Diceros bicornis minor: one gene and its partners. The protein of the gene in region 1 purifies or fractionates together with the protein of each later gene. This does not show direct contact. Links are inferred from orthologs where the notes say so. Each region holds a gene or a part of one and is shown in the gene's direction. Other genes may lie near its edges. The genes, in order: PRKACA, CDK5RAP2, VAPA and A-kinase anchor protein 2.

Evidence for each region.
Region 2: the proteins of PRKACA (region 1) and CDK5RAP2 purify together in Homo sapiens (affinity purification with mass spectrometry; 6 studies listed by BioGRID and IntAct, with this or other methods). This does not show direct contact. The link is inferred for Diceros bicornis minor from reciprocal best matches to the Homo sapiens genes PRKACA and CDK5RAP2.
Region 3: the proteins of PRKACA (region 1) and VAPA purify together in Homo sapiens (affinity purification with mass spectrometry; 4 studies listed by BioGRID and IntAct, with this or other methods). This does not show direct contact. The link is inferred for Diceros bicornis minor from reciprocal best matches to the Homo sapiens genes PRKACA and VAPA.
Region 4: the proteins of PRKACA (region 1) and A-kinase anchor protein 2 purify together in Homo sapiens (affinity purification with mass spectrometry; 5 studies listed by BioGRID and IntAct, with this or other methods). This does not show direct contact. The link is inferred for Diceros bicornis minor from reciprocal best matches to the Homo sapiens genes PRKACA and PALM2AKAP2.

What each region holds. Positions count from the first base shown.
Region 1 is NC_080769.1:3,624,086-3,631,624, forward strand, and holds the start of PRKACA (cAMP-dependent protein kinase catalytic subunit alpha), read left to right. Parts: upstream 1-4,537; 5' UTR 4,538-4,645; coding exon 4,646-4,691; intron 4,692-7,539. Other genes in the region: histone chaperone ASF1B, read left to right, coding at 916-1,092, 1,446-1,634.
Region 2 is NC_080767.1:27,771,797-27,779,700, reverse strand, and holds the start of CDK5RAP2 (CDK5 regulatory subunit-associated protein 2), read left to right. Parts: upstream 1-4,898; 5' UTR 4,899-5,046; coding exon 5,047-5,102; intron 5,103-7,904. UniProt on the Homo sapiens protein: Potential regulator of CDK5 activity via its interaction with CDK5R1. Negative regulator of centriole disengagement (licensing) which maintains centriole engagement and cohesion. Involved in regulation of mitotic spindle orientation.
Region 3 is NC_080755.1:7,892,393-7,900,109, forward strand, and holds the start of VAPA (vesicle-associated membrane protein-associated protein A), read left to right. Parts: upstream 1-4,701; 5' UTR 4,702-4,919; coding exon 4,920-4,998; intron 4,999-7,717. UniProt on the Homo sapiens protein: Endoplasmic reticulum (ER)-anchored protein that mediates the formation of contact sites between the ER and endosomes via interaction with FFAT motif-containing proteins such as STARD3 or WDR44.
Region 4 is NC_080767.1:18,858,271-18,865,831, forward strand, and holds the start of A-kinase anchor protein 2, read left to right. Parts: upstream 1-4,558; 5' UTR 4,559-4,680; intron 4,681-7,561. UniProt on the Homo sapiens protein: Binds to regulatory subunit (RII) of protein kinase A. May be involved in establishing polarity in signaling systems or in integrating PKA-RII isoforms with downstream effectors to capture, amplify and focus diffuse, trans-cellular signals carried by cAMP.

The sequences.
Region 1 (7,539 bases):
ATATTACCACCAATATGGAATCCCTGAATAATGAGGATCTGCCATAGCTGCTAAAAGACGCTCTCATCCAGCATCGCAGGGGCTGTCAGAAATGCAGACTTAGCGTGCACTAAAGTTTGAGAGCCTCCGCTCAAATCCACCCCCTCACTGTATCTCTGCTGCTCCCAGCCCAATCTAAGCAACCTTGTCCTCACAGCTGACTCTTCACCCCCTGTATCCCATCCACCAGCCAGCCCGTCTACTCCACTCCCCCACCAGGGCAGCTCCCCGGGCATGGGGTCCACGCGGTCACACAGGGCCCATGCGTGGGGTCATGTTCTGCTGTCGCTGACGGAAGTGGACTACTTTTTGAACACAGGGCCCATGTTTTCATTTTGTATGGGTCTCATTTTGCACCAGTTCCATAGCCGGTCCTGTCCGTGACAACACCCTGGAATCTGGCCACCTCTGTCTCCTCTGCTGCCCGGTCCAGGCCACAGTCCCCCCTTGCTCCCATCTCGGCTCCGCAGGCCACTGCGGTCTGAGTGATGCAGCACTCACCTCTTGCTGAATGTTCTTGCTTTTTCTCTCCCAGCCCTTAACTGGCCCACCAGGCCCTTGGTGGCCTGGTGCCACCTGCCCACCTGTTCAGCCTCATCGTATGCCACCCTCCCCACTACACTCACTACACTCCTCACTACACCTTGCTCACTACACTCCTCCCCAGCCCCATTTACTTCTGTGTGGCACCCATCACGTTCAGCATTTCACAGGCATTTACACAATTGATTCTGTCTTCCCCACTCGATGGAAAACTCCCAAAGGCAGAGACCATGCTTTGGGCTCAGTGGACATGTGTTGCTTGAGAAGCATTGTATTGCTGAGGAGGTGTGACTGCGGCGATGGATGCTAAGACCCAGGATGTGTTTCCCCTAGGCCGACGCCCCCAACCCGTCCCTCATCCCTGAGACCGACGCCGTGGGGGTGACTGTGGTCCTCATCACCTGCACCTACCATGGCCAGGAGTTCATCCGCGTGGGCTACTACGTTAACAACGAGTACCCCAACCCCGAGCTGCGGGAGAACCCGCCCCCGAAGCCGGACTTTTCTCAGGTGGGACCGGCTCTGCACCGCACCACCTTTGCACTGCTGGGGGTTGAGTCATTGAAACTTGGAGCCAAGGTCACTTCTTAAGGCTTTCAAGTAGTGCTCAGATCTTGCAGCGCCAGGCTAGAACGGGAGAGAGAAAGGTCTTGGTTTCTCAGAAGCACACCTTGCAGAATCAAGATTAGATAGGTGGCCCTAGACTGTGGGGTGGGCATCCCCGGGAGTGGCACACACAGCTGTGGTGGTGGTGGGATAAGCCAGCTCTGCTTGTCCTGGGGGAGCGGGGCAGGGGTGCCCTGGCTCCGCAGGAGTGATGAGAGGGCATGCTGACCAGGGTTGACGTTCCTTTTTCCGCCCAGCTCCAGCGGAACATCTTGGCCTCAAACCCCCGGGTGACCCGCTTCCACATCAACTGGGACAACACGGACAGGCTGGAGGACCCCACCCTGGGCTGCGGCCTCCCCCTCAGCTGCACTCCTGTCAAGGGCTTGGGTCTCCCTGGCTGCATCCCCGGCCTCCTCCCCGAGAACTCCATGGACTGCATCTAACTGGGGATCTAGGCCAGTCTCCTGGCACATCTGGAAGGGGCAGCGGGGCCTCCCAGAGAGTCCCCTGGGGGCCATGTGGAAGACTTGGGGGCCGTCAGCTACATCCAGGCCGGTTAAACTTGGCCCCGAGGAAGGAACAGGCCTCACGTCTCCCAGCCCTGGCCCAGAAGGATCATCTCACCTCTCCTGCCCAGGCCTGCAGAAACAGGTGCTTCAGTTCTTAGTTCTTTCTGACTGTCCCTTCCCTCTTCCACAGGCACTGTCAGTTCCACCTGCGGGTCATTGTGCCCCCGTGCGCCCGGGAGTACCATTGACCCAGAGCTCTTCCCACAGGCCTCCCTGGCCTGCTTTGAGGCTTCCTTGGTCAATGCCTGGCAAGGCTCTGGCCCTGTTGGGCCAAAGGCTCTGTCATTCATCTCCCTTCCCAAACTACCAAGCAGAATACACCCAGCTTTCTGGAGTCACGGGCAAGGAATCGTGGTTTGAAGGTAGACTCGGACACAGTTTCTGTCCTCCTGGAACAATTTTTAGGTCTTGTCAATCCAACAGCCCCTGGAAAACTCTGTTCGCAAAAGTGTGATCAGCAAGATGCTGAGGAATGATGGCTGATTTTCTCAGTGACAGCTACCTTCCTGTTACCTCCTAACTGGATCTGGCTTTCCCTGGAGGCTGCCACTGTGGGGAGATGGCATGTTAGAGGGGCCTTCTCTGCTGGTCTGTCTCAGTGTCAGCATCAGGGCCCCTTTGGGGGCCTTGCTCTGCCCTCTGCTAAGACCCCACAGGCCACAGAGTGACTACGGGCAGGGGAAGCACCAGGGCCCCTGAAGTCCCCCACCCCCACCAGGCTCCCTGCCGCGCCCCACCCCCTTGCTGCTATGTGGATGTTGTTGTGGTTGCAGTTTGTACATTAAAGGGTTTTTATATTAAATATGTTTGGTTGGTCTAAAAATAAAAAGCATTTGATCTAGGCTGATTGTTTCTGCTTCTGTCTTGGGTGGGCTGAGACAGCCTTGTCTACCTCTCCTCCTGACGTCGGGGGCCTCCTGCCCCAGCCAGTGAGTTGACTGCCCCATCCCCAAGCTCAGCTTCTTACTCGAGTCTTACTTGGTTGGATAGTTGTATTCCAGACTGAGGTTCCGGGGTGGGGTTTTTCTTTGTCAAAACCTAAGCAACCCAGCTGTTCTGTAGATAGAGCATAACCCGTGACTTTCCAGACTTTGACCTTGACCCCCAGGAGGGAATTAACATCTGTGCTCCAAGGACAGACAGCAACACTCTTATTACGTTTTACTTCACCTTTGTAACCCCACAGCCCAAGTGGGAGTGGTTTGGCTGGTGACCCATTTCCCCATAATTTACAGAGGAGCCCCACTCTTCCCTCCCTGAGACTGGCGAGCCTAGGAAGGTGGGTTCGGACAGCTTCTGGGAAGGGTTCGGGTTGTAAGTCTATAGGCAGAGCAGGGAATCAGCTTGCAGAGCTGAGCCCGGATAGCCCCTCCGAGTCAGGGAGAGCTGGCTCATCCCGTCCCCTGCCCCTCTCAGCACCTCCTGTTTGGGCCCTTGTCTACTTCAGTGGTTCTCTACTGAGGGCAGTTTTGCCCCCAGGGCACCTTAAACTATGTCTTGAGATGGTTTGAGTTGTCACAACTGGTGCCTGGTGGACGAGAGGGAGGTTCTACAGGGGTTGAGTGGGTAGAGGGACCGGATGCTGCTCAACACCCTACAATGCACAAGACAGCCCCCCAGCAAAGACTGATCCGGCCGCAAATGTCAGTAGTGCGGCGGTGGAGCCGACGTCCTCAGGCTGTGTGTGTATTAACAGGGTATCCTGAAGGAAGGGGCATCTTGCTACGTCTCTGCTTGGGGGGGAGGTAGTTCCCTCTGCTTTGCGCGGATGGAGAGTATCCTCAGCCTGACTGAGCCCCACGTTCTTCATCTGTAAAACAGGAGTGATGATACCAGTACCTGCGGGACAGGAGTGTGGTGCGAATTACCAAACGAGCGCCAGCTCTTACTGCTGGCCTGAGCCCAGGGTGGGCGCCCAGCACAGGGAGGGACACTGAGCGCCCCCTCCCAAGCCCCCTTGCTCCCGGGGCCCAGCATCCTCCTGAAGCTCGGGCTGCGGCTGGGGGAGCCCCAGGAACCACCCCCAACCCCAGCCTGAACCCCGGGCCTGCCGCTGCCCTCCTGCGCCAGGCCTTATCAATGACGACGGCCGACGGCCCGGCGACCTCTGACCCGCGGCGCCGGCCGCGCCCCTCCCCCGCTGGCAGGTGGACAGTGGCTGCGCCGGGGGGTGGGGGGGCCGCGGCGCCAACCTTGGCTGGCCGGCGGCCGCTGCCGCACTGGGCGGGGGCGGGGGACTGCGGCGCGCACGGGGCGGGCGCCCGCCGGGACCGCCCACTCGGCCTCGGAGCGCCGCGCGGCCGCCCGCCAGCCAGCCTCGGCCGCCCCGCCCGCGGCCTGGGCAGCAGGCTGCGCGTCCGCCCCGCCCTCTCACCCCGGGATTGACACTGAACGTTCTGCCAGGGGCTTGCCGGACTGGGCGCCTCCGCCAATTGGCGGCCTCGCTGGGCGGGCCCTGGGTCCTGTCGGGCACCTCAGCCAATCAGGCGCGTCGGCCCGCCCAGCTGAGGCCTCGCGAGCGCGCGAGTGGCCGGGCGTCCGCGGCGCGCGTCATGGGACCGAGAGCCTATGGCGGCGCGGGAGGGTCGCGGAGAGCCAATGGGCGGGGGCGCGGCGCCGTCAGTCAGGGCGGCCTGGACCAATGATCGGCGGGCTGCGGGGGCGTCACGGACAGCAGCAGCGGACTTGGGCTGAGGTTCCCGGGCGGGCGGGCGCGGAGGGACGCGGGCAGCAGGGGCTGGGCGGGGGTCGCGGCGCCGCAGCCAGCGCAGCCAACGCGAGCGGCCGCCGCCGCCGCTGCCGCCCAGCGCGCTCCGGGGCCGCCGGCCGCCGCCAGCACCCGCCGCGCCGCAGCTCCGGGACCGGTCCCGGCCGCCGCCGCCGCGATGGGCAACGCCGCCGCCGCCAAGAAGGGCAGCGAGCAGGAGAGCGGTGAGTACCCGGGCCGTGACCCCGATCCTGGCCCCGCGCTGCCAGCCCCCACCCTGTCCATCACCGCCTGGCCCCTCCCCCCACGCGCCCCCCCATCTCTCTCCGCTTACCCCCCAGCGCTCCTTCCTCCTGCCTGTCCAAGATTGGGGCCCAGGGCCCCCAGAAGACTCCCGTAGGAGCCCCTTTGCCGAAGGCCGCCCCCCACTGCAAAGACTGTGCCCCCCCACCCAGCTGTCACTGCCAACCATGGCACGTATGACCGCTGGGGCCTCGCATGGGAGCCTGTCACCACCCCACCCTCTCCTTTCCTGGCCCCTCTCCCCAGATTCTAACCCCCACTTCCTCACTTTTCCCACAGATGGGACCCACTGCCAGACCCCGACCCAGACATCTACCAGTCTGGGAGTGCTGTGGGGTCTGCCTCCACCCCACAGGGACCTTGGCCACTTGGTGACCACACCCCTCCCCCCTCCAGCCCCCGCCATCTTTCTCCTGCCCTTCCCCTCTTCACCTTACCACAGCCCCCCTCCAGACCCACTCTGCCCCCCTTGAGCATTTCCCAGAGCCACCTCCAGTATTGTTTTTCTCTTCTGTGTCACTTGGCATGGGGGACAGGATCTTTCTGGGTCCCTCTGCCCCTCTCTCATCCTGTCACTCTGCTTCTCTGCTTGTGCTCCCTTCTCCAAGCAAGCGTCTGTCCCTGGCTGGGGTAGCAGACTGTTTATGAACGTAGAGAACCGCATCAGTTCTTCCAAAGCCAAGTTTGAGCCGATCTTGCTGGGATTCATTGCGTCCTCCTTGCTGGAGTGGGGTGGGGGGCGGCAGCAGAGCCCCTTCCCATCTCCTGCTGTGCAGTGAGCTCTAGGATCCTTGGAGGCCCCTCAGTACATGGTTGTTTCACAACTGAGGCTCCGTCATTCACCCAGTCCCCCGGGCTTCTTCAGCCGCTCCTCGTCCGGGATGAAAAGTGGGAGATGAAGAGTGTGTTTTGCCAGACTTATTCAGCTTGAGCTGGGATGGTGAACCGGGGGACTTGGGGTGGCAGTCGGGGACAGCAGTGGGTGACATCTAATGGGTTGCTTTGCCAGGGGACAGATAGATTCTGATCACTCCCAGAGCTCAGCCAGAGAGAGGCCTGTTTCCGCCTCAGCCCCCAAATTATGTTGGCCTTTTCCAGCCAGCCAGAGAAAGAGATTCTGTGTCTGGAAATGCCTTCAGAAATGGCCTGGAGCCCCTTCCTCAGTTCCTCCAGCTCTTAAATTGTCATCACGCCAGGCCTAAAGCTGGACCTAAGCTAGGATCCCCTTCCCGTTACTCAGAAAGTCAGAGCCAGCAAGGAAGCCACGTCCAAAAACTCTCTTCCCAGTTGCTGGTCTCAGACCCCAGGATCTGAGTGTCCTGAATGCTCCCTCCCAGAAAGACCTGGGCATGAAAGCCAGGGGACTTTATTCCCATACAGATTCAAATGGCAAACCTCAGAGTCGCCAGGCAGGCATGGGGAGGCCTGATATGTCACCGATAGGCGGGGGCCGGGGAGGCCAGTGCCTGTAGCTGAGTGCTTGATGACAGAGGAGCAGGTGGGTAGTGACCAAAAAAGGTCTCAGCATGAGCTTGGAGGGGACTAGGCTGGGGGGAGGGGCTGGGCCCCCAGCAGGTGAGGCCGGCTGGGAGGTGGAAGGTAGAGGCAGGCAGCTGTATATTGCAGTGGCTCAGTTGAAAGTTGGGGAGATGACATAGTTCTGGAAAACTTTCAAGGCGTATCAGACACATGTGGTCGGGGGGGTGGAAAGCCGCACAGGGAAAAGGATCCCCAAGAAAAAGATCAGAGGCTCTGGAAGGAACCGCTAATTCTCTCAGAGCGCAGGCCGGACACCCAGGAATGGAGCATCACGATGCAATAGAGCCCATTTATCTAGGATGTGCCAGGCTAAATGGGCTCCATAGATCTGTCTGCTCCAGTGATTTCCATAACGGCCTGTTACCAGAATTTTCCAAACGAGCTGAGTTTGACATAGATGATGTCACAGAGGCAGGATTCACATCCAGATCTGCCCACCAGCCAACTTCCTGGACCCCAGAATTTCCCAGCCCAGACATTCTCAAGCCACCTCCTCCCTGATTTTTACTTTACTCACTTATGTTTTCTTAATTTAAAATGAAAACTTTGACTCACTTTTGTCCAGATGTAAACTTTGATCTGTCCTAAGCAGTAATATAAATGAAATCATGAGCTTGCTGTGCCCGCTATATTTTTTCTGATACACATTAAAATACAACGTAACTAGAAAAATTAAACATACCTAAAATCATTTCCTGCCTTGCCAGTGGGACCCATATCACCCTTCGGGAAATGCCCTAAACTGTACTTCCTTCCAGAGTCTTGCAGGGGCTCTCAGAGGAGGAAATAGGATGAGGAAGGAAGCCCTTCTTTGCTTCAAAGCGCTGATTTTCTAAGGATGGAGTTACAAAATTTGCCCTCGGAACTGGGGCCGGGCTGGGGGCACGGGCAGTAGCTAGGCCAGCCTGCAGGGGGCACCTGAATTTCATCTCCCAGACGCCAGCCCTACTGGGGTAAGGAAAATGCCCAAGCCTTACTAGGCACCAGTTAGGCATTCTGCAGCCCCCTGTGCTGCCGTCTCGGAGCCAGGGCAGGACAGCGTCGGCCCCCTCCTGAGAGGGTGGGGATCTAGAACAAGCGCTGGGGTTGAGAAGGGGGAAATCTGTACCCAAAGATGCCAAAGCCATTGGCAGGGGCCCGGGTAAGATGCTAAGAGGGTAGAGAAAAAAAGACCAAGCCCGGGCTCTGAGCAAACTGGAGGAATTGACAGAGGGCAGTGGCCCCGAGAGG
Region 2 (7,904 bases), on another chromosome or scaffold:
TTGCCCTCTCTAGCTCAATCATCTACATCCTGTTTCCTTGGTGTGGAGTATTTCTCATTCCTCTTCCCACCTTGAGAAGATGTCAGGACTTGGAGTTAATTTGACAAACTGTCATTGAGCACCTACTATGGGCACAGCCCGGAGCTAGATGTTGGGCCTAGAAGGCATCACTAGCTTGGTAACACAGCATGCTATGGAGCAGACAGTGGGTACTAACTGGGAATTGGACAAGGGCTGCTGATAGCGAAGGCTGGCTGGGAAGAGTTCTTGAGAGAAAGGGGCAGGGTAGCACAAGGGATGTGCTAGAAATACTGCTGACCTTGGGATCAGACAGACTCGGGTTTGAATCTTGGCACATCTATGTATTAGATGGGCAGCTTGGCCAAATCTAGGATAATGTGTGTAACAAAGTAAATAATGATAGTGATAGGTTATAACTCATAAAATAAAGCAAATATCCACAAATCCATGCTGATTTAAATAAACAATGGAAGAAATGGGCAAGAAGAGAAAGTTCTTCCTTATAGTAGAATTCCAGTTAATAAATATAGATGAAATGATGAAAATAGGAAATCACCAATTGGCAAATACCACAGTAATAATTGTTTTGCGTAAGAATTATTAATGGGTGCTAAAATCAGTGGGCGAAAATTTGATGACAAAAAGGATATTTACATAGTCTTAAGTATCGCTGCCCAAGACTCTTTTTAATCATAAAAAAGCAGTAATTTTGGGGGGCAGGCCCTGTGGCTTAGCGGTTAAGTGCATGCGCTCTGCTGCTGGCGGCCCAGGGTTTGGATCCCGGGCGCGCACCGATGCAATGCTTGTCAGGCAATGCTGTGGCGGCGTCCCATATAAGGTGGAGGAAGATAGGCACAGATGTTAGCCCAGGGCCAGTCTTCCTCAGCAAAAAGAGGAGGATTGGCATGGATGTTAGCTCAGGGCTGATCTTTCTCACAAAAAAAAAAAAAAAAAGTAATTTTACCATGGAGAATCTTGGCAGACTCCACCTTAGCCAAGAGATCAGAGTTAACATCACTAATTAATGAGACATATTAACATCATCTTCCTCCTGATACCCTGAGAAGGGCACAACATCAGTTTTGTGGTATTCTTGCTCAAGTGCATAACCTCAATTTAATCATGAGCAAACAGCACATGAACCCAAATTGAGGAACAGTCTATCAAATAACTGGCAAGAACTTTTAGAAAGTGTTAATGTCATGAAAGACATAGACAAAGGAGCTGTCGCAGATTGAAGGGGAGTAAGAAGACATAACAACTAAATGCAACGTGGAATCTCAGATTGGATCCTGGGCTGAAAAAAGGGCATTAATGGGAAAAATGATTAGGTTTCAAGAAGGTCTGTAGTAAGTACTATTGTAATATAATTTCTTATTTTTGACAATTGTGCTATGGTTATGTAAGATGTTACTATTTTAGCAAGCTGGGTGAAGGCTATATGGGGAATTCTTTGCATTATTTTTGCAATTTTTTTCTGTCTGAATTATTTCTAAATGAAAAGTGAGGAAAGAAAGGAAGACAGTGTGGCCTTTGGCAAATCTCTTCCCCTCTCTGAACCTTAGTTTCTTCATCTGTAGAGCAGGGCAATCATCCTAATCTACTTCAGAGTGTAGTGAGGATAAAATGAAATAGTGCAAAGTAGCAATGTATCTGTATTGATCCTGTAAGTTATTCTTGCTGTTAATAATGGCAGCTCATGTGTCTTGAGCTGCTAAAACTTCAGGAGGGTTCTACCCTCATGAGAAACATCTGGCTGCAAGCTACTTCCTCCCAGCCATTTGAGATGACCTTACCCAAGGAATAATAATGCCAGCTTTGTGACTGGGTGGCTGTTGTCAAGGAGATGGTGCCAGATAGCCCAAACAGCTGGTAGTAGTGACGTCACTTCCAGGCTTGGCAGAAAGAAAGGCCATGGCGAGACAGAGACGGGGCAAAGGCCTTCATCCTTGACCATGAAAACAGGAAAAACAACTTCCCAAATAGCCTATCCTTTGTGCAACTGATTCTATTTTAAGTTTCTAGGTTCATTAAAGGGTTAGCACACAATTCTGGAACGTGGTCATTTGCTGAATCAGGCAATGGATTAATCATAAGCAGAACTCCTCCAAGGCTCTTTCTTCTTTACAGTTTCCAAAGTATCTAATTAGATAATGCAACTGTGTGAGCTCAGCATTGTCTGTCCCATTTCACACATGGGAAAACCAAGGAGGAGCGAGGGGAAGGGACCTCAGGTCACAGGATAAGATGGAAGATTTTCCAGAGTCAGAATCCAGGTGCCCAGACTTCCCATCCTGCAGTCCTACTCTCCACACTAACATTCACCTCATGGCCACCTTGAAGCAGTTGTCCAAGGAGTAGAGTCTGGTGAACACATCCCTGAAATACTGTTGTCTGGATGTAGACCTCACCTCTTGACCCTGAATTCTAAAGTGGAGGAAACCAAACAGATAGAGAAGACAGGCTGCCTAAAACAATTAGAGTGTTTGAGTTCGGTGGGACCTAGGCTCAAATCCCAGCTCTGCCACTTACCAACAGTGAAACCTTGAGCATGTTATTTTCACCTCTTTCAGCCTCAGTCTTCTCATCTGTAAGTAAAATGGGGAGAACAGTAGCACCTACTCCCGAGGGTTGTTGTTAGGGTTAAATGTGGTGGTGTATGTGATATGCCTGGCACAAGTGGCACATAAGAGATGCCCAAAATGTGTAAGTCCTCCTCCTTATTTCCTTTCTGAAGAGCTTTCACGTGCTGGATGAAAAGTTAGTTCCTTCATTTGGGAAGTAACGATTTGTAACTCAGTCTCCCTCACCAGAAAATGGTTGGTCGTGCATTAATAACCTTGAAATAAACACAAAGAAATCACCTCCAGAGCTGTGAGGTCCTGAGACATCCAACCAGCCCAACCCTCTTATTTCATAGGTGTAGAAACTGAGGCTCAGAGAAGAGGAGTGGTGTGCCAAAGATTGCAGAGTCAGTGGCAGAACCAGGGCTGGAATCCTGACACCCCAGCTTCCCTGCTTTTGGACACACCCATCTCATTGGTTGAACTTAGCACTGGCAAGGACTGTTGGTTCCCGGGCTTCGAGGACTGCCCTTCCCTGGGGCAGGGCATCTGGTGTGCCAACTGTTTCCTGCCCACTCTCTCTTTCAGGCTGTTATTTTATTGCTGATTCTGGAGGTGACTGAATATCCGGGGAAGGAAGAGGAACGGGCACAGGATCAAGAGCCTTGTAGCCTTCACCAAAGCTGAGAGAGAGAGAGAGAATGAAGCAGAGAGAGAGAGAACAGGATATATGGGATGACTATTGACTGAGCTACTAAAGATATCACATTGTCACAGAAACCTTGCAGGATAGGTATTATTTTTCATTTTCCAGATTGACTGAATCATTCATTCAACATATATATATATATATATTTTTTTTTTTGAGGAAGATTGGCCCTGTGCTAACATCTGTTGCCAATCTTTCTCTTTTTCTGTTTTTCTCCCCAAAGCCCCAGTACATAGTTGTATATCATAGTTGTAGAGTTGTAGCTCTTCTGCATGGGACATTGCCTAAGCATGGCTTGATGAGCAGTGCGTAGGTCTGTGCCTGGGATCCAGACCAGCAAACCTCCAGGCACCGAAGCGGAGCGCCTGACCTTAACCACTACACCACGAGGCTGGCCCCTCAACGTATATTTTTAAACACTGATTGGGTGGCAGGCACAGTGCTAGGTGTTAGGAATATAGCAGTAAACAATTCAGAACACAGTCTCTGCCCTCATGGAGCTTCCAGTCTAGTGCAAGAGGAGACATTAAAAAAAACACAAAAATATATAATTGCAAAATGTGGTAAGTGCCACAAAGGAAAAATACAGGTTGCTAAGAATACAAGAAAGGGTCTGATTTAGATTAGAAGATTAGAGAAGGCTTCTTTTGGAAAGTAACACTTAAATTGAAGAATGAGGAAACTGAGGATGAGGGAGGTGTTGTACGTGGTTACAAGGAAAGTCATCATCTACCCAATCACCCATTTTTTCAAGTTATTTTCATCCAGAACTCTCCGGACAGCCTGCAGAGGAAGGTAGTAACACTGAGATGGGGAGATGAAGGTTCATTTCATTGGCCAAGCTGCCAAAATTATCTAGGTGTTGGTGATTGCTTTGTGCTTTAAGAAAGGCAGTCAGGGTTATGCAGAGAGCCCTGATGTGGTTGGCAGGAGCCGGGGATCTGGCTCCAGTCCACAGACTTACTGTGCATGACTTTGGGAGAGTCATTTCCTCTCTCTGGGCCTCAGTTTACTGATCTCAGGTGCGTCTGAGCTTTAAAGGTAATAAAGGATCACTAGGTGAGAGATTGGAGAGGGAGTGTCGGTGACCACTTGGCTCATAGGGATGAATTTATTCGTTTCAAGCTAAGTGTGCAAATTACTGCTTGAGCTGGGATTCTGCAGGTAAGATTTTTCTAAAGCGAGGCAGCACCCGATTATCTGAGGTTCAACTCAAAGTGGAAGCCTTTTGAATGCACAGACCCTAAGGTTTGGGTCATTATTCTAGGAAAGCATACACCAGGATAAGAACTCTGAAGGTCCATGAGGGCCTGGATTCCCATCTCCCGCTTAAATTAACGGACCAAGGCCTGCCTTGGCCCTCAACAAAGATGGCGTCTGCCCTGGCCCCGGCCTCAGTGCCCTCACAAAAAATGGCAGCCGGGCTCTCTTTCCTTAGTGTTGCGGGCCCCAGGTCGGATGCTCTGCCCTTAGTTAAGATGGCGCCCGCCCGCGCTTCCCTGCCCGGCTTCTGGCCTCGGCCGGCCGGCTTCACCGCGCGCGCCGCGGTGACCCCGCCCCGTTTCCGTAGGAAGAAGCGCCGGGAAAGATGGCGGCGGCTGCGGTTTGAATTCCAGCGGTGCCGCCACAGTCCGAACAAGAGCTGGGTTGGAGGGGGCGGGACCTGGGGAGCCAGGCGGGTCGCTACATCGTGGGGGAACTAGTGCTGCCGCCGCCATAGACACCAACGCCACCACCTCCTCCGTGTCCAGGATGGACTCAGTGTTGGAAGAGGACGTCACCCTCCCCGGAACGCTCAGCGGCTGCAGGTGCGGCCCGGGCTTTGGGGGTTCGCGGTAACCGGGCCCGGGTTCCCGCTGATCGAGGGGTTCGCTCCAACGGAGACTTGGGGTCTGCTCTCGAAGGTGTTTGAGGGTTTCCGGACAGGGACAGTGTGTGGGGTGGGTTTCTGGGGGCGAGGCGTCTCTTTCGGGACCCACCAGCTGATACTGAGTGTAGGGGGCTGAGGGTCCGGACCTGCACCACACCCACCTTTCTCGTATTTCGGGACATACTTTGAAGAGGGTGTGAGGGACAGGTAAGGGGTTGTCTGAACGAGCGGGAGGAGGGGGGCCTTTTGCAGTGTGCCATCGGTGGGATCTGGTTGAGGGGCGGGGACCTGGAGGGTACTTGATGGTTTATTCTGGTTTGGGGGTTTGCATTCATTATGGGGAGTGTAGTTGGTCTGTCTAGACTTTGCTTATGGGGTCACATAGTGGCCACCAAAACTCAGGCAGTGGAGTGCAGTGGTTAAGAACCTTGGCTGGAGTTGAACAGAATTGGATTTAAATCCAGCCCTTGAAACTAACTAGCTCTGTGACCTTAAAGTCTCTTACCCTGCTTTCCCATCTGTAAAATGGAGCTAGTAGTAGTATCCACCCAACAGAGGTGGGATGAGGATTAGAAGAGAAGATGCCTGCCCAGCAATTCACTTGGCAAGTGTAATGCCTGGCACGTAGTCAGTGCTTAAAAAAATGATTCTGTGTTGCCATCATCATCATCAATAGTAATACAAATTGGGGAATAATGGCTGAGAGTGGCCTCCCAATGGACCTGTCCCAAGAGGCATTTGGAGTCCACATTGCTGGTGGGGCAGGGGTCTCTTCTGGTAGGAAGGCCTGACAGAGCCCTGCACTGCCCCAGGGCTGGGGCCCTTTGTTGTCCTGGCTCCCGGTTGAGTGCTCAGAAGGACATGGAGGAAAGCCTTAACTGAGAATCTGCAGTGTTTATCCAGCTGTGCTAGAGACGGGCTGCTTCTTTCAGTCAACAGACGCTAATTAAAAGGATGACCATGTATTTGTTGTGCAAACCGATACACTTGTAAGAGTGAAATGAGCACAATTAATATTCATGCCTGGATGGCAGGCGTAAACAAGTCCTATCTGGACAAGTGGTTAGTCTGTTTATTGTGTATCTACTGTGTATCAGGCACAGAGCAAGGCCCTTTGCAGCTCCTGCCTAAATTGGACCTGTGTTAGTTCATCATGTCTCTTTCTCTTCATCTCACTACGATGCCCCGATATATTGGGGTATGACCTCTCACCTTGATTGTCCTGGCTTCCCTCACACCCCTAATAGTCTTTTATACTATAGCTTGAAAACTCTTTTTAAAATGTAAATCTGGTTGTCACAGTCTGCTGCTTTATATGTGTAATGCTGCTCTTTGCCATTAAGATAAAAGTCCACTGTCGTTCTCTCAGGCAGCTTTTCTCATCTTGGTGCCGGTTGGCCAAGCACTGGGGCTTTGGGACCCAGACCTAGCTGGGTTTCAATCCCGATTCTGCCATTTAACACTGTGGCCTTGGGCAAGTCACTCACCCTCTGTGAGCCTCAAAATCATCTGTAAAATGAGTGAGTCTAAAAGAGTTTAGCCCGGTGTCTGGCCCAGAGTAGCAACTCCACAGATCATCACATATTCTGCCTACCCTCCTCTCTCTGCCTTTGCAGGACCCAGGTGCTGCATACATTCCTGGTAACTAATCTTTTACTCACCTCCTTCAGACCCTCCCTGGCCACTCGCCACCCTCAGGGTGAAGTTCTTTAATACGGCTTCCAAGGTCCTTCATACTCTGGCCCCATCTACTTCACTAGCCTCCTCTGCCCTTCCTTGTCTCCTCCCCAAGCCCTTCACTCTGCTTGGCTGCCAGACTCTTTGTAATGAACGATCTTGCCTTATTCTTTCATATTGTGGGGCCCTGGCACTCATGTTTCTGCTGCCTGGATTGCCCTCCCTTCTCCCTTTGCCTTATTAATGCCTGTTATTTTTCAGGTCTCAATTTAGGTGGCACTGCCTGGAAGCCTTCGCTGACATTCCCTCACCCCACCTGGGCCGTCTGTAGTCTTCTAGTCATCCCATTTATCACTGACCCTGTCTCAGCCCTGGATTTTATTGACACTAGCACTGTCCAGTAGATATATAACTTGAACCACATATGTAATTTAAAAATTTCTAGTAGCCACATTAAAAAGTAAAAACAGGTGAAATTAATTTTAATATATTTTATTTAACCAAATATTTCCATAGATTATCATTCTAACTTGTAAAAAACAACAGAAATTATTAATGAGATATTTACATTCTCCTTAATCTTACGAAGTCTTTGGGGTCTGGTGTGTATTTTATACCTACAGCACTTCTCAGTTTGGATTAACCACATTTCAGGTGCTCAGTGGGTACGTGGGCTGGTGGCTCCTGGATTGGACAATGCATCGTTAACTTGTCTGTGTCCCACTTTAGACGACGACCCATTTGAGAGCAGGGGCTGCATTTTGATCTTCTTTGGTACCCTAGTTCCTAACCTGGTATCTGGCTTACAATAGGGCTCAGTAACTATTTGTTAAATCACCGAATAAACAACGATCCTTTGAGGTGACAATATTATCCCCTTTCTACAGGTGAGGACACACTGAGGCTCATAGAGGTGAAGTGAACAGTCTGGGATCTCATGAAAATTATTTGATCGAGCCAGGATTTAAATCCAGGCCTACTGATTACAGAGCCTGGCTCTCAGTACCTTGGCCTGCTTTCCGACTAGTTTTCTGAGCCAATCTGAGAGGATTCTGGGAGGATT
Region 3 (7,717 bases), on another chromosome or scaffold:
CTACCTATGTTCTTACAAGTATGGATAAAGTTGGGGAGTGATACACAACATAGCCAGTTAACACTGGTTACTCTAAGTGGAGTGGAAATTGTGAGGCATAGGAGGAAACTTTTTATTCACAGGCCTTTGGATTGTGTCACTGGTTACAATAAGCACATATTAATTTTACGATATAAAAGCTTAATAGAAGAGAAAACACTTCAAATTATTTTTCATAAACAAAGATTATTATTATTTTTTATAATTTTATTTATTTATTTATCTTTTCCCCCAAAGCCCCAGTAGGTAGTTGTATGTCGTAGTTGCACATCCTTCTAGTTGCTGCATGTGGGACGAGGCCTCAGCATGGCCGGAGAAGCAGTGCGTCGGTGCGCGCCCAGGATCCGAAGCCGGGCTGCCAGTAGCAGAGCGCGCGCACTTAACCGCTAAGCCGCGGGACCGGCCCACAAAGATTATTTATAGTTTTAACTGCTTTAAACGGTCATACGGACAAAAATCCCCAGGATAAGTCTTTTTTCTAACTCTTCTTCTTCCAGCCTTGACTTTATCTGGTGAAGCTTCCCTCTGCCTTCTCCTGGAATCTATATTTCTTACATAGTCTGACAAATGCTCTACAGTAAGCACCAGCAACACATCCACATTTACCAAGCATTGCATCCCTGTGATACTTCCTGACCCAATACATATTTCACTTGATTATCCCTCTCTCTCATAGCTATCTGTGTTAGGAAGAGCTCTTTGTGTGCAGTGACCCTGTTTCATCCACGTTTTACCCCTAGCACCCTGTTACTCTGTCAGGTGAATGGTTTCCAGTCCTTGCCTTATAGATGTCTACACCATTGACCTTCTTGATCCACTCTTAGCTTTCCTGACACCTCACTCTCTGCAGCATTCTAATATCACGAGCAGGAAGCAACATAATAAAGGGGATTAGGTGTTTATAAAATTTTGAGGAGAGGTAGAGGAGCAGACTCGAGACTTGGCTCTCCAGGAAGGGACTCCCAGGGCAAGACTGAACTGCTCCACCCAGCAGCTGCTGCCTCCGAGGCCGCACTTTACTTCTAACCCTAGGGATCAGGAAGCTGGACTCAAGAAAAAGCCACTGCTTCTGCTGACCCTGCAACAATTCCCTGCCTCTTGATATCCAGGAAGCTAGTCAATGGGCGCTGGAACGCTGCTGCAGAAAGCCTCACGTCTCTGTGCTCTTGCCTCAGCAGAAAAACAGCCAGAAGGGGCAGAAAGCTGCCTTCCAACTCACTTCTAACTTTCCAATATCACATGAGTGTAACTCACTGGTCAAACTTATTTCAAGAGCAGAATCATAGCTGCAAAGGAGCTATTTCACGTTTGTTTTTCCTACTTGAATGTAAGTCTCTAAAGGCAGAGACCACGTCTATTGTCTCACCACTACATCACCTACCACAGTGCCGGGTGCACAGCGATAATTTAACATTTAACGTTAATAAGGTAATAGTACTAGAACCAGTCACCATTCTAAACTCTTTGTGTGTATTCTCATTTAATTCTCAGAACAAACTTTAGAGGTACATACAATTATTCTCCCCAATTTACAGATAGACACGGAGAGGTAAAGTAAGATGCTAAGACCACACAGTGGAAAATGGGACATGAATCCAATGGTTCAGATCCAAAGCCTATACTCTTACTCAATATGCTTTACTGCCTCAATATTTAATAAAAGTATGCTCATTTAAATGTTTACTGAATTGAATTATGCAGAGAATTGATCATAAACAAATTCATAATTACATACAGAGCACCTCTGTAGTTAATATGTTTAACTATGGAGGAGATGGTTATACTTTGTTGCCATTTGTACTGGCAAATTTTTTTTTGATCCTTGCCAAACCCATTAGAGATAACCTGTCCAAAGATGAATACTGTTAGTTATTCAAGTAGGTTAAAGTAATATTCAAGGCCTTCATACCTCTTAGACTCATGAAAACTTGGTAGCTGGAGAAATATGGTTAAGTATATATTTTTTGCTAATAGCTTAAGAGACCTTTATGTGCTGCATTAATCAATGTGAAAAGAGTAAACAGTGAACATTAGGTCCCACGTTTCTCCATTCCTAGCTTAAATGTTAAGCATAGATAAGTCAATTACATTTTAAATAGCTGCCTTAATCACTTTCAGTTATCATTTTATTGTAGTTTTGGGAAGAGCAAAAATGCAAAGAACGGAAAATTGGGCAACTCCTCTCCACCACATTTAGCTCTATTACTGACATGACATGCTTTCACCTGTGTTTTCATTTCCATATTTAACAACAAAAGTAACACTTGCTAACTGTTATAAGGTTGTTCTGAGTAGCATGTGATGATGTTTGTAAAGTTCTTTGAACTGCTAGAAGAAAGGTATTAATAAGTACCAAAGCACAAACCACTTAAATAGTCCACTATTCAATGGGGAGTAGAGGAGTCAGGAGGACTCTGAGTCATTATTAAGGCAACACTTTAAAATTGTAATAGGGGCATTATTCGAAAGATGTTTTGTGTATTCTTAGACTACCAGATATTTAAAATCTTACAGATTTTAAGCCTATATCTATATAATTTTCAAAGCAATATTGAGAAGACAAAAATTTGATTCCAAAGGTGATGACTCAAATGGGCAGAGGTTTCTCAATGATACAGACTGGGAAACTGGAATTCTACATCCAGTTCAGGCTTCCCATTGAACTCATGGTGAATGGGCAGCCATTGTCCCATAGGGGAGTGACTGGGAACTTCCTCAGCATGCTATACCACTAACTGGCTGTTTGCACACTGGGGACTGCCAAATGCTTTCTGGTAAGAGAAGTGTCCATCTAGCTGTGGAGGAGACAGTTCAGCCAAGGCAAACTTGCCCGTGGATAAGAGCTCTTAGGCAAGCAAAAAAACCTGGAGTTTGTGACCGCTCTAGGGTTGTCAGTTCACAACTAAACATATGTGGGACACCATCCTGTGGAGTGATTGTCAACCTCAAATTTTTTTTTTTTTTTTTTTTTGCTGAGGAAGATTGGCCCCGGGCTAGCATCTGTGCCCATCTTTCTCTATTTTGTATGTGGGACATCTCCACAGCATGGCTGGCCAGTGGTGTAGGTCTGCTCCTGGGATCCCAACGTCTGGAACCTGAGCCACAGAAGCCGAGCATTGTGAGTTTAACCATGCCACTGGGCTGCCCCTGCAAGAAAAAATTTTTTTTAACCTTAAGCCCCCTCTTGACAAACATGCAATTTTTGCATTCTCCTTTTATTGATCATTGAATTTTCAAAATAAATTTTGTGAATAAAAAGAAATCAAAGGAATGGTAAATTTAGAACACGCTTTTCAGACTGTTTAAGCACTCCCATCCTCCAAGGTTTTCATGGCTGAAGATACACTGCTCTTGCCTAGCACAATCTTCTGTGAATGCTACGTTAGCTATTCCGAAGAGCTATACCCAGATGGGCTCTGAACCTGCATTGCACATGAAAACTTGGACTTTGTGCCTAAACCTAGACTATTGTTCCATTTGTTTCATTTATTTTCTCGACAAACTGGGCTGCTTATTCGTCGCAGCAGCATCAATATGTCCTTTGTTTTGTGGTGCTTCCTAGGGATATAAATTCAAGGAGTGCTATAAAGGTTTATTTACAGCACATTCACTCGTGTTATTTGATCTTTCTGTCCCTGATTACCCTGGCAATCGGTTACAGATTTGTCAGCAACTTTGCTCATGGGATTTTTCTCATTTGGTTCAGTTTACTACAGGCTACCGTAAATGATGCAGATGGAACCCATTTTCAACATGTGAATGTGACAACTGTTTTGGTTTGGGTCTATTCTTAATCAAAACTGAAGAATAGACCCTAGCAACTGAAGGCTGTAGATTTTGATTTTTATTTCTAGCTTGATACGTGTCTTGTCAGATTTCCCCAACGACGCATCTGCTTCTTAAACAAGGTGTTTCCTCATGTGCTTTTGCATCACTGGAGAGATTCAGGAAGCAGGCGAGGTTGGACTGGAATACGACGGAGAATTTAGCTCCACCATCAGAGGGATGGATAGAATTGGAGAGCAAACTGACAAATCCTGGCATGTTTTCCACAGGGTATATTTTATATTTCTAACCAGGGACCTCGGGTCAGTCTCCGAAACTTTTTGTTTTTCTTTTTTAGCGCAGAAGAGACGCTCTGAGCGCCCAAGGGAGTGTCGGCGCGCCCACCCCATTCGCCTGGCGCAGATCCCATTCGCTCCCACGGACCCGTCCGCCTTCCCGCCCGCCGACAGCCACTAACACCGCTCCCGGCAGCCATCGCGCAGGGCCGCACACGGGCCGGGCGCGCACGGAGCATGCTGGGAGTTGTAGTGAAGGAGCCCAGCCACGCCTTCCTTCTATCAGGCATTCCCGCTCGGAAGATCGTAATGCACTGCCCATAGCGGGTTCTCCAGTTTCCTAATCCAATCTAAACGTGACCGAGGATTGCGCCCTCCTGCCACGAAGCGCGCACCGCGTGGGCCCCACGGAGCTCAGTCCCTCCCCTGTCCCCACCCGATCCCTTGACAGCTGCGCCGCGCTCCGAGCGGCGGCCAGGCCGAAAGCGCGCAGGCGCACCAGCCCGCGCCACGCTGGGCGGGCCGAGCGCAAGCGGCCCCGGCGCCGGGGCGCGCACGTAGGCACGCAGAGGCCGTCACGTGGGGCGCCGAGGATCGCAGTGCGCGTGGCCGCGGCGGCTGGTGTGGGGTTGAGTCAGTTGTGAGACCCGGAGCTGCGGACCCAGCGGGCGGCCCGGCGCCCCGCGAGAGAGCGGCGGGCGTCAGGGTTCGGGAGCCGTGAGCTGGCCCCTCGCAGACCTCGGCCGAGCCGGCGCCGCTGTCCCCCACCCCCAGCCCAAACCGCCGCCGCGGGCGCGCCCCCGCTCTGCGCTGTCTCCAATGGCGTCCGCCTCCGGGGCCATGGCGAAGCACGAGCAGATCCTGGTCCTCGACCCGCCCACAGACCTCAAATTCAAAGGTAGGCAGGCAGAGGGCAGCCCCGGGGGAGCGTGCGGGAGCTCGGCGCCGGGCCGCGGCCCCTCCCCCACGCCCGCACCTCGGCTCGCGGCGGCGTCCCCGGGCCCGGCCCGCTTCCCCCCTCCCTCCCTCGGTGCCGCCCGGTGCCGCCTCGGTGCCCGGGGAGCCGGGGGCCCAGCCCGCCGCCGCCATCTTGCGGGCCCGCGGGCGCCTCCCGGTGCTGCCGCGCTGCCCGCGCCGGCGCTTGTCCTTGGCCCGGGCGGCGGGCGGCGTCCCGGCGGGCGTGGTGGGCGGTGACCGAGGCCTGGCGCTCTGCTCGGCGGGGAGGGGCTCGGGGGGGCGCGAGTGCCGTGGTTCGCCGTCCCGGACTCGGTTCCGAGAGAGGGCCCTCCGGCCCCCGCCCGCGCAGAGCGCTGCTCCCACCTTTTCTCCAGTTGCTAACTTGGCTGTCGGGTCCGTGAGCGCGGGAGGCGGGGAGCCGGGAGGTCCTCCGGTTCTGGCCTAGCCGGGCGTGCGGGCAGAGACCCGCGTGCGGCGGGGCAGCTCGCGGCAGCCGAGGGTTTGTGGTAGGTCACTAGTAGACGGCTTCCTGGGCCTCTGATGGCACAGTTCAGCTCACTTTCCGCCTAGGCCAGAGCTGCTATTCGTCGACCCTTGTTTCGCCCCTTGTCGCTTTGCTTTTTTGCTGCGGAATCTTCACTGTTGGTGATTTCTGCCTTTACGTTTGAGGTTTCCCAATAAGCCCCGGAGAAGGCTGATAGTTGTCACTCAGCTCTGGGACGCCGTCGATTTACTTTGTAGCAATGCCCGTGGTAAATTAATAGTCTGACTTGGTGAGCCTTGAGGAATCTAAGGGGCTGTTTGGCCCATTTGTTTTCGGTATGTAGGGTAGTTTAGGCAAGAGAGTTAAACTGAGCAGGTTTCTGTTTACGAATACTTAAAGTGCGTGAAGATCCTAAATAGAAAGCAGATTTCTCCGTGTCTTCAGTTAAGCATAAAGTGAGTCGCCGTTTGGAAGATTCAGTATCTTGTATTTCAATTTGGGTAGCTATGATGAGAACACTTTGTGAACTGTGTAGCCATTCCAGTGCTTAAAACAAAATAAATCCTTTATTGTTGTACAAGACTGAATCCAAAAGAAAAACACTTAGATTGTTTTCCATAGGAAAAGGTAATAGTTTTAGAAATTTTAAAATAGTATTTTCTGGTATTATGAGTGTATTTTATAGCTCCTTTATTTTGAAAGCTTTTTACTGCATTTGCAGATTTCTTTGAGTGGCATTGTAAATGAGCTGTTTGTTAGGTAAGGATTTAGTTTTAAGACAACCCTAAGAAATAGTTTGAGAGGCATTAAGAGCATTTTAGTGTGGCAAGTTTATGTGTGTGGCATGATTTTACATAATTTTAGCTGAAAGAAAAAAATACACCTTTGGGGAATCATGAAATTACCTAACTTAGCTATTATCTTAGGTTTGAGGAATTTAATGTAAACCTTTATGGTATATGTGTTCTTTTGAGAATTTAAGTACTTTGCTTTTACTTTTTGACAGGCTGTTTTACAGAGGAAATTTCCACTACTGGATAACCATTATCTGGGACTTAGAAGCCTTTAAAACCAGTTTTAGGCCAGGAAATGTCCACAGAGTTTGAAGCTTTCTCCCTAGAGAAGTTGTAATGTTGCTGTAGTAAAAGACTAATAATAGCGGAGAAGCAGGTTAAAAAAACAACCCAAAACCCTACCCAATGACATATCCATATATTTCACCTATTTTAGGTATTGAAAAATTAACTATGATTATAGAATAGGTTCTTGTATTATGGGTGAAAGTAATTCACAAGGCACATTTTTAAAAGTTTGGACATCAATGACCACCTTTTTAAATTGACTTTAAAAAAGTGTTTCGTTGAAAAGTTCCTAGGGGGACACATTCACTTGGGCCATTTATTTAGCGAATACTTTAGCTTTGTGCCATCCCTATATTTGATGAAGAGTATTCAGCAATGAATAATTCATTCAACAGGTATCAGCTTATATTGGGATTCAGTGGTAAACAAGGTGGAGAAAAGATTCACAATTTGTGATTTAATGGGGAAAGCATACAATTAAACAGGAGTAAAATGTGTTAGGTTTTATCTTTGCCCTTGAAGAACTCCGAGACTAGTGAGGGAGACAGAAAAGGCATCTAGATGCTATAACAGAGGCAAACCGAGTATAAGGAAAGAGTCCTTTTCCTCCTCATTCCTCCTGCCAACCCCCTCCCCTTTACTTTAGGAAGCTTTCTGGGAAGAGGCTCCTTTTCAGTTGGGGAGGGGAGAGGGTTTGGCCAGGGAGTGGTTGTGTACTTAGTAACCACTGATGTGAGAGAATGTATGGTTTCTCCTTAAATACCCAGTGGGTTGCTGTGTACTTCTATTTAAAGGTGGGGTAATGGGGAGGACTGGAAAAGAGGAGGGGTAGGATGAGTTAGGAGGTGACATTTGGAGTCATTTGCTTCCTTCCTCCTTAATGTTATTCTTTTAGTTCAAGATAGTTTGCTTTGATGGAAACCTTTCTGTATTCCAGTGCACAGTTCAACACTAAAATGAGGAGACTCATATAGAATCAACAATCTCCTTATGCTTAGTTTGATGGTGGTGTAAAAAGTCATTTAATTCTGACTTCCCCTAAATCACCTGTAATTTTTAGTTTAAGTAAAAGCCTGTTAAAGGATAGTTTTGCA
Region 4 (7,561 bases), on another chromosome or scaffold:
CTATAAACTACTGGTTTGTTTTTTCTATTAGGTAGTTGGTAATTTTCTTATTGATTTGTAAGAACTCTTTGCATATTAGAGATAGTAACCCATTGTTATATATGTTGCCAATATTTCCCCCAGCTTGTTTCTTTTCTTAGATTTTCAGTGGGGACTCTGGTCCCATGGGGATGCCCTTGGGATTGGGAACTGTTCCTAATTTTCCAATGACCTCACTTAGTGCTTGGTGGGAAAGCCCCACAGATCTAGGGCTTTTGATTTGATGTGGGCTAGCCTTTTTTTTTTTTTTTTGTGAGGAAGATCAGCCCTGAGCTAACATGCATGCTAATCCTCCTCTTTTTGCTGAGGAAGACCGGCTCTGAGCTAACATCTATTGCCAATCCTCCTCCTTTTTTTCCCCAAAGCCCCAGTAGATAGTTGTATGTCATAGTTGCACATCCTTCTAGTTGCTGTATGTGGGACGCGGCCTCAGCATGGCCAGAGAAGCGGTGCTTCGGTGCGTGCCCGGGATCCAAACCCGGGCCACCAGTAGCGGAGCTCCCACTTAACCAGTAAGCCACGGGGCCGGCCCCAATGCAAATTTTATTTTGTTTATTTATTTTTTTGTGAGGAAGATCAGCCCTGAGCTAACATCCGTGCCCATCTTCTTCCACTTTATGGGGGACACCACCAAGCATGGCCTGACAAGCGGTGCATCGGTGTGCACCCGGGATCCGAACCTGGGCCGCCAGTAGCGGAGCGCGCACACTTAACCGCTATGCCACGGGGCCGGCCTGGGCTAGCCTTTTAGTGTTGATTTTGTTTGCTTTTCCCTCTTATTCTTTTTTTTTCCCTAGCAAACCTTTATTTTCTGTGGGACACATTTAGCGCTTGAGGATTACACCCCGCTGATGCTCTTTGGTCTTTCTCCTTGCTAGAAGGAGGCAATGGCAAATTCTCTTTTATGATGGGCCAATCTTGGCCCCTCCTTTGGGTTTTCAGATCAGCTCTCTGAGCCACTCATGGGTGTTTTTTTCAGCTTCTACTCTAAGCTTGGGGGCATGTGGCTACTGCTAAGCCATTAGTTGCTGGATTTGGTTCGTTTCGCTCAGTTTGGGGAGAGAGAAAGAAGAGGCTTTGTCAATCTGTTTCTAGGCTGACTCCTTTCCCAGAAACTTAACTTTCACTCTTGGTGTTTCTCTAGTAAGTACGTTCTATTTCTTAAGTGCCCCGGAGGCCACTCTTACTCAGGGGCATGGTTTAGAGTGGACCAGCAGCCCAGCAGAGGCCACAGGAGCAAAAATGTACACTTAGGCCATAGTGAAAGAGATTCTGATCTCCTCCCCTGCCAAGCAAAATTTCCGTAGAAGGTCCTGTGTCCTAGGTGGGGTAGGGCCTTTGGGAGCATTTACCATTTACACATCCTGGCTATGTTCTTGTTCACAAAATTAGTAGCCTTTTATTTGCTTCAAATGTGCTTCTGAAGTGCATCTAGGAGACTAAATGTGCTTCTTTCATAAAATATTCTCAGCTCTAATAACCATGATCATGTTAAGAGACATACGACGTGATGACCCCGTAAACATGCATTGGGTAAAGCCAGCCTTTCCCATCTCCTGTGTTTCTCACACTTCCATATTCTTAAGAATCACCTAGAGCTGTGAAAACAATTTCCCTAGCCCTGCCCCGAGAGATCCTGACTTAGTAGGTAAAAGTGGAGCAGGAATCTGCATTTTTAATAAGCACAGAGGTGGTTCTGACATCTATAGTCCTTAGTACTGGCTTTGAGTCCAGGGCAAGATAACTTGACCTCAGCACTACTGACATGTGGGACAAGATAATCCTTTGTTGCTGGAGGGTGTCCTGTACACTTTAGGATGTTTAGCAACATCTCTGGCCTATATCCATTAGATGCCAGTAACACCCCCTCCCATTATGACAATTAAAAAATTCTCCAGACATTGCCAAAATGTCCGAGGGGGGGCGGGGCGGAGGGGAGGACTGTCAAATCACCCTCGATTGAGAACTACTGACCTGAGGGAAAATAAATGAGAAAATGTTAATTAAAAACAGTTTTTACTTTCACATGCAGATGCTCATACTCCTGCATTGTTTTCATTGAACAAATTAAACAGGGGCTGGCCAGGTGGTATAGCTGTTAAGTTCCCGGGCTCTGCTTCGGCGGCCCAGGGTTTGCAGGTTCGGATCCTGGGCGGGGACGGACGCACTACTTGTCAAGCCATGCTGTGGCAGGAGTCCCACATATAAAGTAGAGGAGGATGGGCAGGGATGTTAGCCCAGGGCCAATCTTTCTCAGCAAAAAGAGGAGGATTGGCAACAGATGTTAGCTCAGGGCTGATCTTCCTCACAATAAATAAATAAATAAATAAATAAATATTTCTCAGCACCTGGTATGTACCAAGGCTTTTATATTAAAAATGTTTTCTTTAATCATAGCTATCTCTTTAATATCTTATAAGATGGAAGAAAGGGAAATGTTCTTGTAAATTAATATCTATTGAACACGCATTTTTCCTAAATTAATATTCTCGGTAGTTTTCTGTGGGGTAAACCAGAACTTTAAAATTAATATGACCAGAAAATTAATATTAACTAATTAATATTAAAATAATATTAAATTAATGTTAATATTTACATTGACATTGCTTTAGGAAAGAAGTAATTCAGAATTGTCAGTGTAAATTGCTGTGCTCTTTCTAATAATGAAATTTGATTTGTAAACTTTACACTTATTCTAATTTAGGAACATATGAAGAAAGAGGATGATGTACCTGCCATAACGTGATTTATAAAATCTCACCTTTGCCGTAATTTTAGAATCTTTCCTTGGAGAGACTATGGTCCATATAAATAAATGTGTGTACCCAGATGTGCTGATTTCAATGTGAGGTTTTCACATGATAGTAAAATGTTAAAAATAGATCATGATGTAGGGCACCCAAATATTTAACTCCTTAAGTCTGTCACATGAGAAGAAAGAAAGAGAGAGAGGGAGGGAGCGAGGGAGGGCGGGAAGAAGGAAGGAGGAAGGAAGGAAAACAGGAAAGGAATTGATTGAAATCTCCGGCCACTGGTCAGTAAATTCTATTGAAATTCAGGAGTGTGGGAGACAAACATACAAAAAAGCTGGTGAAACAGTTCCTAAATACCAAGAAAAAGAAGCCTATTGACATTCGGGAACCCTGAGGAGAACAGCTGATGTCTCTGTTGAAGCCTTTATCCCTGCCTTGAGTAAAGGTGTGACTAAATCTCAGGGTGGGAAAGAAGCCTTTTCTTGGCAGGGTACTATTTTTCATGTGTCACTAGCATGGACAGGCTTTCTGGGCAATTCCCGAAGATATTGTTTCTTCGTATTGGAAATCAAGGACTTTTGTGGATTAGGAAACAACCAGATCCTGGCAGTTGTCTTTCCCTGCTGCGTTTGGAATACAGAATTGACTCTCAGAAGAGGACCCAGGACCTTGGCCAGCGGTTCAGAATAAGGGACTCGGACGTGCAAAGCTGGAGAGAGAGAATCGCTGCGAAAAGGAAAACACTGATCATGCCTAGCGGAAAGTTGAATTCAAGAAATCTGACTTGTTATTTTCCTTTGCAGAGAAAGATTTTACTTGCTTAAACTGCTGTTTTCTGTGTGGGGTGCTTCTGTGTGTGTCCTCTCTCAGGATTTCTAGACAGTCCATTTTCGAAGGGTCATTAACATTATTTAAATATTCATGGTGGGGGAGGGAATTACAGACTGAAATTTCAGACAGCTGGGGAGTGAGGGATGGCTGGCCACCCGCGTAATCGAGGCCCACGCGGTGTATCCGCTGCCTCCTTCCCCACCGCTGGCTTTGTTAACACACGCGCTTTGACACCAGGCCAACGGCTGCTACAACGGAGAGGCTCTGAAGGCTCTGGCGAGCCAGTGAGCCGGAAGCATCCCTGTCCACACCTCAGCCTCTGGACTACATCAGGGTGGGGCACAAAACACACGGAGACCCCGTCCCTGTCACCAAGACGCACCTCCCAACCGCTCCCAGCGGTCCTACTTACCCCGGGACAGTCGTGATGCTGCGTAGGGGATGAGGGACTCACTCCCCCCTCGGGTAGGAATTCAGCAGCTCCTGGCGCTGTGAGCGCACACACGCATCCACACACTTCCACATACATTCATATGCACGTATGTATACACCAACACACACGTCCACATGCACGCACGCCGACACGCCCACCGTGCGCTAACACAATCCCACATACCCAGACACTAGAGCCCTCTCCCAGTTAGGAAATACTCGGCTTCACTTGCCCGGTGTCTTCAGCCCCCCAACCCCCCATCCCTCCATCCCTCCAGTCTATCCATTCATTTATTTCTTGGTTTCTTGGTTTGTGCATAGATTCCACCCAAACCACAGAGAGGTGTGGATGGTAGGGGAGGGATGTGGAAGCCGAGGGGCGGGCCGCGGGCGCTGGGCGCCAGGAGCGGGGCGGGGAAGGGGCGGACCCCGGGGGCGGGCGGGCGGCGCTCCCAGCCCTCCAGCGGGCCCGGCGGCCGCGGCGCTCGGCAGATGCGCTCGCCCCAGCCCGGGGCTGCCGCACGCTTCTCCCCGGAGTGTCTCGGACGCCCCAGGGAGGAGGCAGTGGCCGCGTCGCGCTGGAGCGGAGCCCGAGGACTGCTCCCACGAGGTCCGGCGCCTAGAGGTGGGTGTCCCAGGCTGGGGCGCGGCGGCCCCAAGCACCACGTCCTCGGGGCCCCCTCCTGGAGCTCAGGCCCCGGGCGTGGGGAAAGGGTGGCCTGGGAGGGACTCGAGATCTGGGGAGCCTTCGGAAGCAGCGCGGACTTTAAAGGGCTTTTATGGTCCTTGCCTAGCGGAGCGAGTGCGGCGAGGGGGCCTAGCTGGAAAGGGCTGTGGCCATGTGGCTCTGAATTCTTAGGTTTGGGGGAGGGCCAAGTCTTTGGCTGCTTTATTCAATACTTACTTATATACGCTTTAAAAAAAATAAACTTAGGAAACCCCCTGCAACACACACACACACACACACACACACACACACACACACACACACACAGAGCTGGGCTGTAGGAAAAGCAGTGGACATCAAACGGCCGTGGCCGCCTCTCCAGAACCGGAGCCGCGGTGGATGGAGCCACCAGTTCCAGCTCGCAAGGTAGGCGCGGGTCCTGCCTCCGTAGATGGCAGCGCTGGAGGCGTTTTGGAAGTCAGGAGCTTTGCAGGGAGACTGAGGCCGGGCAGGGCCGGGTCCCCGACCAGGCGGAGCCTTTTCGGACTGAGGTGCAGAGGTTGAACTCGGGAGATGGTGCAGGAGGAGGGAGCAGCCCCTTCTGCGCGGGGAGGGTGGGGGGTCCGGGTCCGAGTTGAGCCTGGAAATTTGGCCTGAGGCTGGGACCCCAGTTGTTAGGATTTGGCGTTTTACCCCGGGTAAAGCCAGAGGATACGTCTCTTTGGCTCCTTTGTGGGGACACTTTGGGGGGTCGAAGGGGCGGATCGTGGTGGTGAGCGCTGGGCAAACTGTGCCTGTAATCCCAGTGGAGATGGTGCGCCCGCTGGGATAGGAGCGACGAGATACTGGCGGCCCTGAGAAATTCTAGAGAAACGTAGTGGAGGCCAGGGGACTGAATCCGGAGTCCGTGAGAGCCGGGAGCCTGGGAGTCCGCGGAGGGAGGCGGGGCGGGCCGGGGACAGTGGCGCTAGGGGCCGGCTGAGAGCTGAAGGCAAAGGATGGCGCCTGCAGAGGGGAGCGAGACGGCGAGCTGGACCCGCATGAGCCGGCCGGGCAGCCGGGTTCCTGAGCGCCCCTGCACTGATGCGAGATGCCCGCCAGCCCTGGGGATCCCTCCCCAGTCCGCAAAAAGGGGGCGTCTGGGAGGGAGATGACTCGCTTAGAGAGACGGTGGATTCTCTCTCCAGACCCGGTAAAGTCAATTTCCCGCGTTGGGTGATAGTAGTTTGGCTCTGATATGCTGTGTGGTCAGACTTTGACAAATCTGTACCCTTCCCTATAGCAGTTTTAAGTGCAGAGCCATTAATTTGGACAAACTTCCTTTTTTTTCCCCCTCCTAAATGTATTTACCTTTGAAAAGAGACTAACACGCACGTACACACACGCACACACACACACCTCTATACATCTCTCTATAGAGTATATCTTTGAGTCTGCCAACACCTTAATTTCTCAGAGGAAGCGCCTTTCGGTCTTAACGCACGTTCACAGGCACCTGGAGGCCGAATCAGAACAAACCCACCACTCACGGTTGTAATCCCAGAGGATTTGTTCCCTTGGCTTTGTTCTAATTAAAGAGAGTTCACTTCAGCATGGCACTTTTCTTCCTGGAAATGTTCCCAATTTCATTAAACACTCTCTCTTTCTCCCAGTCTGGCAGCCTCCCCAACATTGATCAATAAAATTTCAGAGTAACATGTCTAGAAAGGAGGTCTATCCAGTAAGGAGTTTACTCTGTTTCTTTACACATAAAGCCTTTTAAGAATTAAAACTTGCCTTAAAGCACCTTCTACACGGCTGTCCACTGCCAGCTCTCTCCTCCCCAGTTTTGGCACAGGCTCTTTGCTTAAAGGGCATCTTCTCCTTTGAGTGGACATACCATGGGTCTTGTGGGCCCTACAGTTATTTTGAGCTGCACCGATAAGATTAGTCATAAGCCAGGAAAAACGAAAATAATCCTGCTTGGATCTCCCTGGCCCTTACCTAGCAGACGGTGCAGTTGTCTTGAGTCGTTTCTCTGGCAGTGGAGTTCATTTCAGTTTCTTTCTGGGGTGCTGAGGTGCTAGCACGAGATGGATGGCTGGGCTTTGAGATGGTACAAACAATTTGAAATACCCGTTATTTCATAGTTCTGGCATGACGGTTGGCACTGCTCCTGCCTGCAGAGTTTAGGGTAGTGTTGTCAGAATTTATTTCACTTTCATAAGTGGCTCATTCTGACTCATTAGCCTCAGGAACTCTGACTAATAAAGTGAAGCAGGTTGCCTTTACTTAGTTATCAAGTGAGGGGAAGATGATCCACTGGTTGTTCTCTTTCTCAAATTTTCAATATTTTAGTATAGAATTAATATATTAAATGTTACTTTTTAAAAATGCAAACGCTGGACTTTCTAGTTAATTTTTATAATTATTGTCTAGATACCATCCTTATAGATTTGGAGGACTCTTAAAGCACCCATGTCCCAGATTTCTACCACGGTTGTCGTTACAAGTCTCATTAAGTTGTCATTACTTATTAGGGTAATGAGAAATGTTTCAAATAAAGATGAAATTGAATTCGGATGGAGGTCGTGTTAAGGGATTTTAATAATTGAAACAGGAGCATTTGAAAATTTACTGCTGAAAACCAGGAAGTGGTCAGTTCCATCCTTTAATCTTACACATTTCTCAACACGAGTAGAATTGATCTATCTTGAATTAGCTTCTGGATTGGCTGTTCTTTGATCTTGAGAAACATAGGAGTCCCCATTTGCTTAGATTATTGATCAGGGATCCTGTGCCAGCCACTGGAAATTTGGAGTAATTGATTAATATACTTATCAGGTTCAACAATTTTGCT